Linked DNA regions of Tribolium castaneum. The protein of the gene in region 2 binds, or shares a complex with, the protein of the main gene of each other region. Links are inferred from orthologs where the notes say so. Each region holds a gene or a part of one and is shown on either strand. Other genes may lie near its edges.

The links.
Region 1: the proteins of Upf2 (region 2) and regulator of nonsense transcripts 1 are in contact, whole or in part, in a crystal structure (PDB 2WJV), measured with the Homo sapiens proteins. The link is inferred for Tribolium castaneum from reciprocal best matches to the Homo sapiens genes UPF2 and UPF1. Residues at the interface, in NP_056357.1 of Homo sapiens: Val1105, Cys1107, Glu1109, Asp1110, Phe1113, Ile1114, Ala1116, Leu1117, Met1120, Met1121, Asn1124, Leu1125, Arg1128, Met1169, Pro1170, Phe1171, Val1172, Met1173, Leu1174, Thr1175, Gln1181, Lys1184, Leu1186, Asn1187, Val1188, Pro1189, Ser1192, Gln1193, Leu1194, Asn1197; in NP_001284478.1 of Homo sapiens: Asn150, Thr151, Ser152, Gly153, Val157, Asn158, Leu160, Val161, Arg162, Lys164, Lys166, Pro175, Leu176, Gly177, Thr179, Tyr184, Cys188, Asn190, Val191, Phe192, Leu193, Phe196, Pro198, Asp202, Ser203, Val204, Val205, Val206, Leu207, Cys209.

What each region holds. Positions count from the first base shown.
Region 1 is NC_087397.1:527,710-531,982, reverse strand, and holds the start of regulator of nonsense transcripts 1, read right to left. Parts: upstream 2,908-4,273; 5' UTR 2,575-2,907; coding exon 2,395-2,574; intron 2,343-2,394; coding exon 2,115-2,342; intron 2,071-2,114; coding exon 1,891-2,070; intron 1,845-1,890; coding exon 1,632-1,844; intron 1,580-1,631; coding exon 1,188-1,579; intron 777-1,187; coding exon 1-776. Other genes in the region: sodium channel protein Nach, read left to right, coding at 3,818-3,937, 3,988-4,148, 4,195-4,273. UniProt on the Homo sapiens protein: RNA-dependent helicase required for nonsense-mediated decay (NMD) of aberrant mRNAs containing premature stop codons and modulates the expression level of normal mRNAs.
Region 2 is NC_087394.1:28,282,404-28,286,774, forward strand, and holds the start of Upf2 (regulator of nonsense transcripts 2), read left to right. Parts: upstream 1-1,341; 5' UTR 1,342-1,431; coding exon 1,432-2,098; intron 2,099-2,202; coding exon 2,203-2,552; intron 2,553-2,601; coding exon 2,602-2,827; intron 2,828-4,371. Other genes in the region: uncharacterized protein Zcchc7, read right to left, coding at 1-844. UniProt on the Homo sapiens protein: Involved in nonsense-mediated decay (NMD) of mRNAs containing premature stop codons by associating with the nuclear exon junction complex (EJC).

The DNA.
Region 1 (4,273 bases), on a different chromosome or scaffold from region 2:
ACAATCCAGCCCTTGCTGCTTTCTTACACATAACAACTGGACCCAACTGACAATGATCACCAACCAAAATCAATTGTTTCACTCCTAGTACCACCGGTACCATACATTCGGGTTCAGTCGCTTGCATACTTTCATCAATCAGAATCGAATGAAATTTCAAACGAACCAATCGTGGATCACCTGCCCCCACACAAGTACAACAAATAACATCGGCAGCTTCGAGTAATTCTTTCTCAGCCAATTTTTTCAACATTCTGTATCGTTTCTCATCAACTGAACTCAACTCTCCAGTCTCATCTTTCAACTGTTGCAACTTCTGGAGTTCAGTATTGGCTTCCATTTTACGTATCTGATTATGCAATGCAAGAAAACTCACAGGCGAATCAATCGCTTCGCGTGATTTCGCACACAATCTTACAACTTTTAGATTAGTTTTGTGAATTTTTTCGGTAAGTTGGTCAACTGCCGTATTACTGGGAGCACAGACTAGGACTGGACCGCCGTTTTGTTTCACCAATTGATAGACGATGGTGGCGGAAGTTACGGTTTTTCCCGTTCCGGGAGGACCTTGGATGAGGGAGAGTGGACGCTGGAGGGCATGTTTGACGGCGTAGACTTGCGAACGGTTCAAGTCGGGAAGATTAGGTGCCGAAAAATGTTTAGGGAGGTGACAACGGAAAAGGACCTCTTCGACCTCGTGGCCGAGGAGGCGGTGGTAGATGTAGGCGGAAACGGATGTATCGTCAACGGCGAATTTTCGCAAGGCGAGTTGCATCCTGCAATTAACAATAAAGGCGAGCTCAGAAAAAAACGACGTGAAAACTTGTTTTCACATAATTATTTTTTTAATTAAATATTCTTAGAAACCTTATAAAAAAATTACCACATTAATATAGCTTGAAATATCAACGCTTAAAATTAACATCTTACAAAGATTTTTTTAACATTCGGAAATAAGAAGTGAAAATGCGTCACTTCTCTCATGCTTTTTTTTTAATTACTGTGATTTTTAAAATAAAGTTTGATTGTAATATTATACTTATATTTAATGTGAAAGTTTATAACAATGGTACTTTCAACGTTTGACTACTAACAGTAAAACATTAATTAAAAAAATAAATAAAAAATGTGATACATAAAGAGATTAACGTGATTATTTCTGTTTCTATCACAACAACGAAATTTACCTGTCAAAACTGGTACTTTTCCAAATGAAATCCACCACAAAGTTGCTGTTACAATCGGTGGGAGCCCCATTTCCGTTCTTCAACTCAATGCCAATATCCTCTCCGTAATTATCAGGAACTTTGATAACGTGTCCCACCCCCGCCCATGATTTATGCATTTCTCCCACGTATCTAAGTCTCAACTCATCTCCGTGCATTAATTTCATATCCCCGTCAGTTTTAGCAAGAGTAAAATACGCAATTGTTTTCTTATTCAAACCCACATCCCACCTAACTTCAATATTTTCCTGAGTCTGAGACTCCTTCAATCTTTTATCATAATCAGCTTCAAGCTTAACAAGAGGACCAAAAATGTTTTGGTACTGATAACCGTCCTCATATCGCAATAAAACCTACCAAAAAAAATTATAATAAATACGTTAGAACTGTGCAAACAAGACTAACTTGTTGCGGTTCTTCGTCAACTCCTGGCCGTTCCAAATCCTGGAACGTGGCATCAACATTATCTTTCCAAAGTTCTTCAAGTTTGTTGATTTGTTGGGCTGAGATTTGGCGCGCTCGCAGTTGTTCCTGTTCTGATGGTATTTTTACAAGCCATGTGAGAAAACACCGGTCGGTAATGAGTGGTTTCCATTGGTCTTGATCCCAGTTCATGTCCTATTAAAAGCTTGAAAACTGTCCTATTTTAAAAGCAATGACTTACTTTAAGTGAGTTTTGGGCGGCACAAGGTTGGCGGCAAAGTAGCACCACAACAGAGTCAGCTTTGGCAGGAATGAACCCCAAAACAAAAACATTGCGGACGCCACAACTGTAACATTCAAGGATTGTCTCGCCCAAAGGGCCGTCCTTGTGTAAGGTCACTTCCTTGTGTTTGGCTCGGACCTAAACCCCAATCAAAAAACAGTTTCCAAGTTGAAATTCCTCACCAAATGGTTGATTATGTGGCTTCCTGAGGTGTTTCCTCTCCCGTTACAAAACCACTTTTTGCAGCAGTTGCACATGACAACGCAATTCGGCTCATGAATGCCGCAGTACTTGCACGCGTAGTTCGGGAGCTCCTTGCTGTTGAAATACTCCTCATCCTCTTCCTCGAATTGCAGTTCCCCTAAAGCACTCGTCGCATTGGCGATTTTGTTGTTGATGTTGTTGTTGAGCTAAAACAACAACGTCATACGACACTGAACCAGGGGGCGACCTTGCACTAACCTGTACACCGGAAACTTTGGGGCCCGCGTGGTCGTGCTGCGAGGCTTGCGTTTGCGATGGAATTGTGAAATCGGTGAATTCGCATTCGGATCCTTGGGTGTCAGCCCCGATCAAGTCGTTTTCTTCGGTCTCTAAAAACGTGAGAGTTTGCGAACTGGGGCCGTATGCGTCGACACTCATCTTGGAGATTTCGTCGCGAACGAATTGAAGCACGGGTTTATTCACGTTTACTGATGAAACACTTTTAACACTTCAATTGATGACAACTCGACTATGGTTACTTTAAAATTTCTACATTTTTCTCCTGGCAAGCGCCATATTTTCCTGATTAATCATTTGTTTTTTTATCGTCATTTCTCTTTCCGAAGCATAATTGACGGAGCGGGAAACTTAAACACTCGTGCTATCTTTTTCAGTTTTTAGCGCACTGATCTTTTTTATGGCCTCAAAATTAAAAAGTGGTTTAGGAAATAGATTATTGCACAACCTTATTGTCTAATTTAATCCCTAAGCTTTTTTTCGTTGGTTGGCACGGTGTTATCATTGTGGTTACCATCTTATCGGAGTGAGACACGTATCGCAATCTTTTAAGTTAAAGAGAGATAAGCATATGTTTGATTGTAGAAGTGGCTAAGGCTGCGTCACTTTATGATTTGATTTTTCACTTTTTTGTAAATTTTACATTTAAACATTATTTTTATTATAAAATTATAGCATAAAGTTTATTGATTTTTCGGTTTTTATTCAACATTCAACACATGACTGCAAAAAAGAGGCATATCAAAATAAAAAAAACACATTTTTCAAAAACAGCCGATTTTTCAGTGAAATTTTATCGGTAATAAGTCAAAAACATAAAATGATGTTCGTTTTAAAAGAACGTAAATTTACGAATGTTTTTGTCGAAATAAATAAAACTAAAAAACGTAATAAGTTTATTGAGTAGATGACCAATAAAACAACTGAGCATTTGGTTTTGCCTACCTAATTATTAAATTAAAAATGGACGAAAAATGGCGAAATTATTATGATTTATGATTATTGAATTTGATATTGCTATTACAAACTTTATCCATAAAAATAGAACGTGGACTCAATAAAAACATTATCAAGAAATGACTGTATTTTATTAAATTAATAGAAATCACACATGCTCTTTATTACAACTGGCACTCCTTATTTTTTAATTCTTCTCATGTTTAAGTAGCTTGCGGTTACTTAAATGCTCACGTATCATTCTGGTTTCCCACAGATACATAATAAATATTACGATGATATAATTGATAGTTTGAAAACTGTTAACTTTTTATTAGGTTTTTGTACAGCGACAATTCAACACATCTATTAATAATTTATTAAAGTTTTACTGCATTATGACCCAACTCATAAATAGTATTGATTACAAATTCCCAACTACACTACAATGAGTATTGTTACAAAATATTTCTTAAACACGTCTCTACATGGCTTGCATTTCATAGCTGATAAGAGATTCCACTGGACTGAAAGATTTTTTTGGACAATATGTGTCCTAACTTCTTGGGTAAATCCCACAAATCGTCAAATTTTTACCACAATAAAATAGATTCACAGGCCGCATCGATTATGCTAATGTTTAACGCACTAGACCAGTATCAAAACCAAAAAATATCCTTTTCAGTGGACACATCTTACTTAAATTGGCAAACAAACTTTCCTTCAATTGTTATTTGCGAACGATCAAATCCAAAAAAAATGCTCGAAGCTAACAAGAAGTAAGTTAATTGTGATTTTCTTTGTTATAACTCTCTCTGCTCGAAGAATTTTCGGTTCCATATCTCAACAGTTCCCCAAACTCGAAACCTTCGTTTTCTTCGACGGTTCCATAAGACACACGCAA
Region 2 (4,371 bases):
TTGAACTACTCTCAGTTTCGCACGTCTCGTTAGGGTTTGCAGGTTTAACAAAGTCGCCACTCTTGAAATCTGATCCGTGCAAACTGAAGTTGAAATTTTTGTGATTTAATTCAACTCCAGAACTGTTGACGAAATCATTCGAGGCTGAATCGGGCGTACTTAACAATTCTTTACGCTCGCGGTGGGCCTTTTTTGTTGGTGAATCGGAAACGCTCGAGTTATCCGATGCAACTGACGCAGTTTCGTTATTTTTTTGTTGTGAGTTTTTCGGAGACTCGGTTTCTTCGTCAAGGTTTATTACCTCAACAGGTGTCTCCACTGGCTCAACAAATACAACATCGTCATTTGACGACTTGTTTTCACTAATATCTTTCTTATTATCATCGTCTGAATCACAAACAGACAAAACCGGCCAATTTTCAGGAATTAACACACAGCTATCCTCCTCGTTCTCACTATCGGACAATGTAATGACCTTGTCACAATTACTTGGTTCTTGGTTTCCCGGTACGACACCTGGTGTTTGTTTCGGAGGTTCCTTCTGAGAATTGGCCAGTTTCTCCAATTTCTTCTGCTTCCTTTTGTAGTTTTTCCAGCGCGCCTTATTACGATTTTTCTTAGGAGTTACACAAACTATCGGACTTTGAGGAGTCAAAACAACTAGTTGGTTGATTGATATATTATCAGGCCTGTGGCGCCTGTTGCAACTTTTTGAGTAAAACCCTGGATGGGACTGGTCATTATCCTTGAAAGTTGGTGGTCTTGTGTTTTGTTTTGCATGCACACTTTTTTGGAATTTGCTGCCAGGGGTCCAAGGGCCGAAGTAACGGGCCTGATTTTTCATGTTTTCGGGGGCCAAAGGCGCGACTGGTGCAGACGGAAGGACTAAATCGCTTTCGGTATCAACCGAGTGGTAAACTTGACTATAAAGACGTGATTCGATTTCTTCAAGGTCCAAGTCATTCTGGAACAATACACGTAGATTGCTCAAATTGTAATAAGTTGAACAATACCATGGTTAGTTGTAAATCTACATTTTAAAAGTAACAGTACGAGAAAAAAATTGTAACTTGAACCAAAAATTAGTAACATTTGACAGCGAAAGCGAAACACACGTGGTTTTCGTCACCAACTTTGCGGAGGAAAACGCACTAGTGGGATACGATTTCGGACGCGAAATCCGAAAACAACTCACTTTACCTCCTGTACATTTGTCCGGGTTAAATCCGAATTATTGTCTTTAATTTTGATGATGTAAACACTTTCCGTTCGCTTGGAATTAACGATAAGATAACACGAAAGTTGATTGTGTAACTTGCATTGGCAACACTTATATCTATTGACGGTTGGGAATTTTCGCTTTTTCCCTAAATTGTTTTCTAATAATAATCATTTTAACAAGTTTTTTGCAAATAAAGCCCGTTTTGCGACATGACCGTGACCGAATCCTCGGAACACGACGGTGAGAAAGACGAGAACAGTGCCGAGGCCCCCAGCGAAGACGACAAAAACGTCCTAACCTCTTACATCCAAGAGGTGGAAGAGAGGTTTGTTTGCAAGCAAGAGCTGCGAAGTGCCAACCAAAATGCGGCAAATACGCGCCCCAGCGAGTCCCACTTCAGCAAGCTGGACTCCAGCCTCAAGAAGAACACGGCGTTTGTTAAGAAAATCAAAAACTTCTCTGCCAACCAAGTGGACACATACTTGAAAGACATGACGGGGCTGAACCTGTCCAAGTACATATCGGAGATTGCGGCTGCGATAGTCGATGCTAAATTGAAAATGACCGATGTGGGCGCAGCCGTAAAGATGTGCAGTGTTTTGCACCAGACTTACGCTGATTTCTCGCAACACTTGTTTGAGAACTGGCAGAAAACCCTGGCCTTTAAAGTGGGTGAGAAGATTCCAAATCCGAGTAAACTGAGGGTGGATTTAAGGTTTTATGCCGAGTTGGTGCAGGCTGGGGTGTTTAGCAATAAAAACGCGTTCACTTTGCTGGGGACCGTGATCACCACTTTGGTCAACATGGACAAGGACGAACACTACAATTGCTCAATAATCCTCAGCTTTTGCAAGCACTGCGGCGAAGATTACGCAGGTAATTTTGGTATTTTTCGCCCAATCAACTACTCGTATCCCCAGGCGGACCGCATATTAAACGCCAGTCAAGTCGATAAAAATGTTAATTTTTTCGAAATATAGGTCTGGTCCCTCGCAAGATGCGGGAATTGTCCGAAAAATTCGACATCCCCATCCCGAAGAGCACTTTCCTGCCGCCCGAGAAGCAGCAAAACGTGCGCACCTTGCTGAGGGATTACTACGTTTCGCTCAGTAAGCATCTCGTCAAAGACCACCAAGAGATCCAAAACTTCGAGAAGCAGAACATGAGGATACTCCAAACCAAAGGCGAGTTGAGTCAAGAACGAAAAGACAAGCTCGAGGCGCTTCAAACATCGTACGATAAATTATTAGCTTCGACACAAAGTTTTGCGGAAATTTTAGACGAAGATATGCCAACTTTGAAAAATCAGACTCTCATGAAAAATGATGAGGTGGCTTTAATTAATTGGGTGGGATAAAGAATTAACTGAGAATTTTTAGAGTATGATAGTGACAGGTGCGGGGCCCGATTTGGACGAAGCTGCGTTGGCTAATATCGAGAATGTTTGGTGCGATATTGAAACGCAGAGGTTTTACTGCGAGTTGCCGGAATTGCAAGCTTTTTTGCCGACTTCTTATATAAATAAACAGGCGCCTCCGCCCGAGGAGTCGGTCACTGAGGAGGTGCTGGATTCGGAAATACCAACTGAAGAACTGGAAGATGACGGTGGGTAAATTTGATAATTTATCTCAGAAATTTTTGTTTTGAGACATTGTCGTCTAGAAAAAACTGTCTTGAATGTTACCGCTTTTTTATCTTCAGTAAGAAAGAGTCCTAGAGATTAAAAAAAAAATTTGAATATATCCGTTCCGTTCAGAAAATAATGGTTGCAACCCCTCATATTAGGGACCGTTTAGAAACCGCTTATAATTTTCTATCCAATGAAAAAACGGCATTTTACGAGGCATAGTTTCTGAAAAACTACTAAGGATTTTCCAGGTTTTCTTGGACCAATCGATTTGCGCGAATCATTTATTAATTATTAATAGATTTGTCATAAAAAAAAATTACGCTGATGACGATACTGTTTGACGTTCTCTTATTTCGTCGTAATCGTCATCCGAAAGTTAAATAACTTTGAGATATTGATCACGAGTAGAAACCTGCATCAATTCATTCTAGTTTTTTATAAGGTTTACGTTGATCGATTCGTTGGAATCGGTACTTAAAAAAGTCAAAAATTTAGTTTTCTAAAACTTTTAACGCGTTTTTTTCAAAAACTATAAAAGTCCGACTAGAAAAAATTAAAAACCGTCAGTCTCTACTTTTAATTCTTTATCAAACAGTGAAAATCTGGAATCAGAGTCGATTTTATAAAAAAATATGACTTGAAAACTAACGGTTCCAGTGTTATGTAAGCGAATTATGTTGACCTACTAAGAAACTGTCGGCCTCAAAATACATGTCGGAAACTGCATATTTGAAAATTAAAATTCCTCCACGATTTTTACAATCTTTAATGAATTCTACTTTCATACATTCAAAAACTTCAATTTTTTACGCTTAACCAACAAATTAATGATTCCTATGCGAAGAACTGCCGAGATATCGACCGTTGATATTTTTGAAATTAAATATTTTCTTTATTAAAAAAAAATATATAATTCCTTTGGGCTACGGATCCCCGGATTATTTTTATAAAGTTATAAGTTTCATCAATTCCGGGGTGCTCCGAGTGGTTTCCGAAAAACACGGTGATATTATGTTTTTAATGTCTCAGCGCCCCAGAAATGCTCAAATATTCATCGCAGAGCATTTTCACCGAGTTTCACTAATCGCATTGTGTTGAAGACGTCATTTTACGATTGGAAAATTTATTCATGTAGTAAAATCGTAAATGCTAATGAAATAAATTCTTGAAATTTTCACACTTCGACTAATTGATAAAAGAACCATTCCCAAATTTTTTTTGTAATTAATAAAGTCTTAGCAGTTTTATAAAGTTTTTATAATAAGTGGTATCACAATAACAAATTTTTACTTTATTGGTTAAACAATCGGCAATTTTTTATTTAAACACAAACCAGACGCGTGATTTATTAGAAGATGGTATAATTTGCCAACAAAGGGATCACTTGCCAGTAGCCGATCTCATTGTCTTAAGACATCATTTTACGTCTCGAATACTTATAAATTATAATGTAGTAAGTTTTTGTGACCCAAAATTATTGATTCGCAATCTTTACATATTTAATTAATTGAAAAACTTT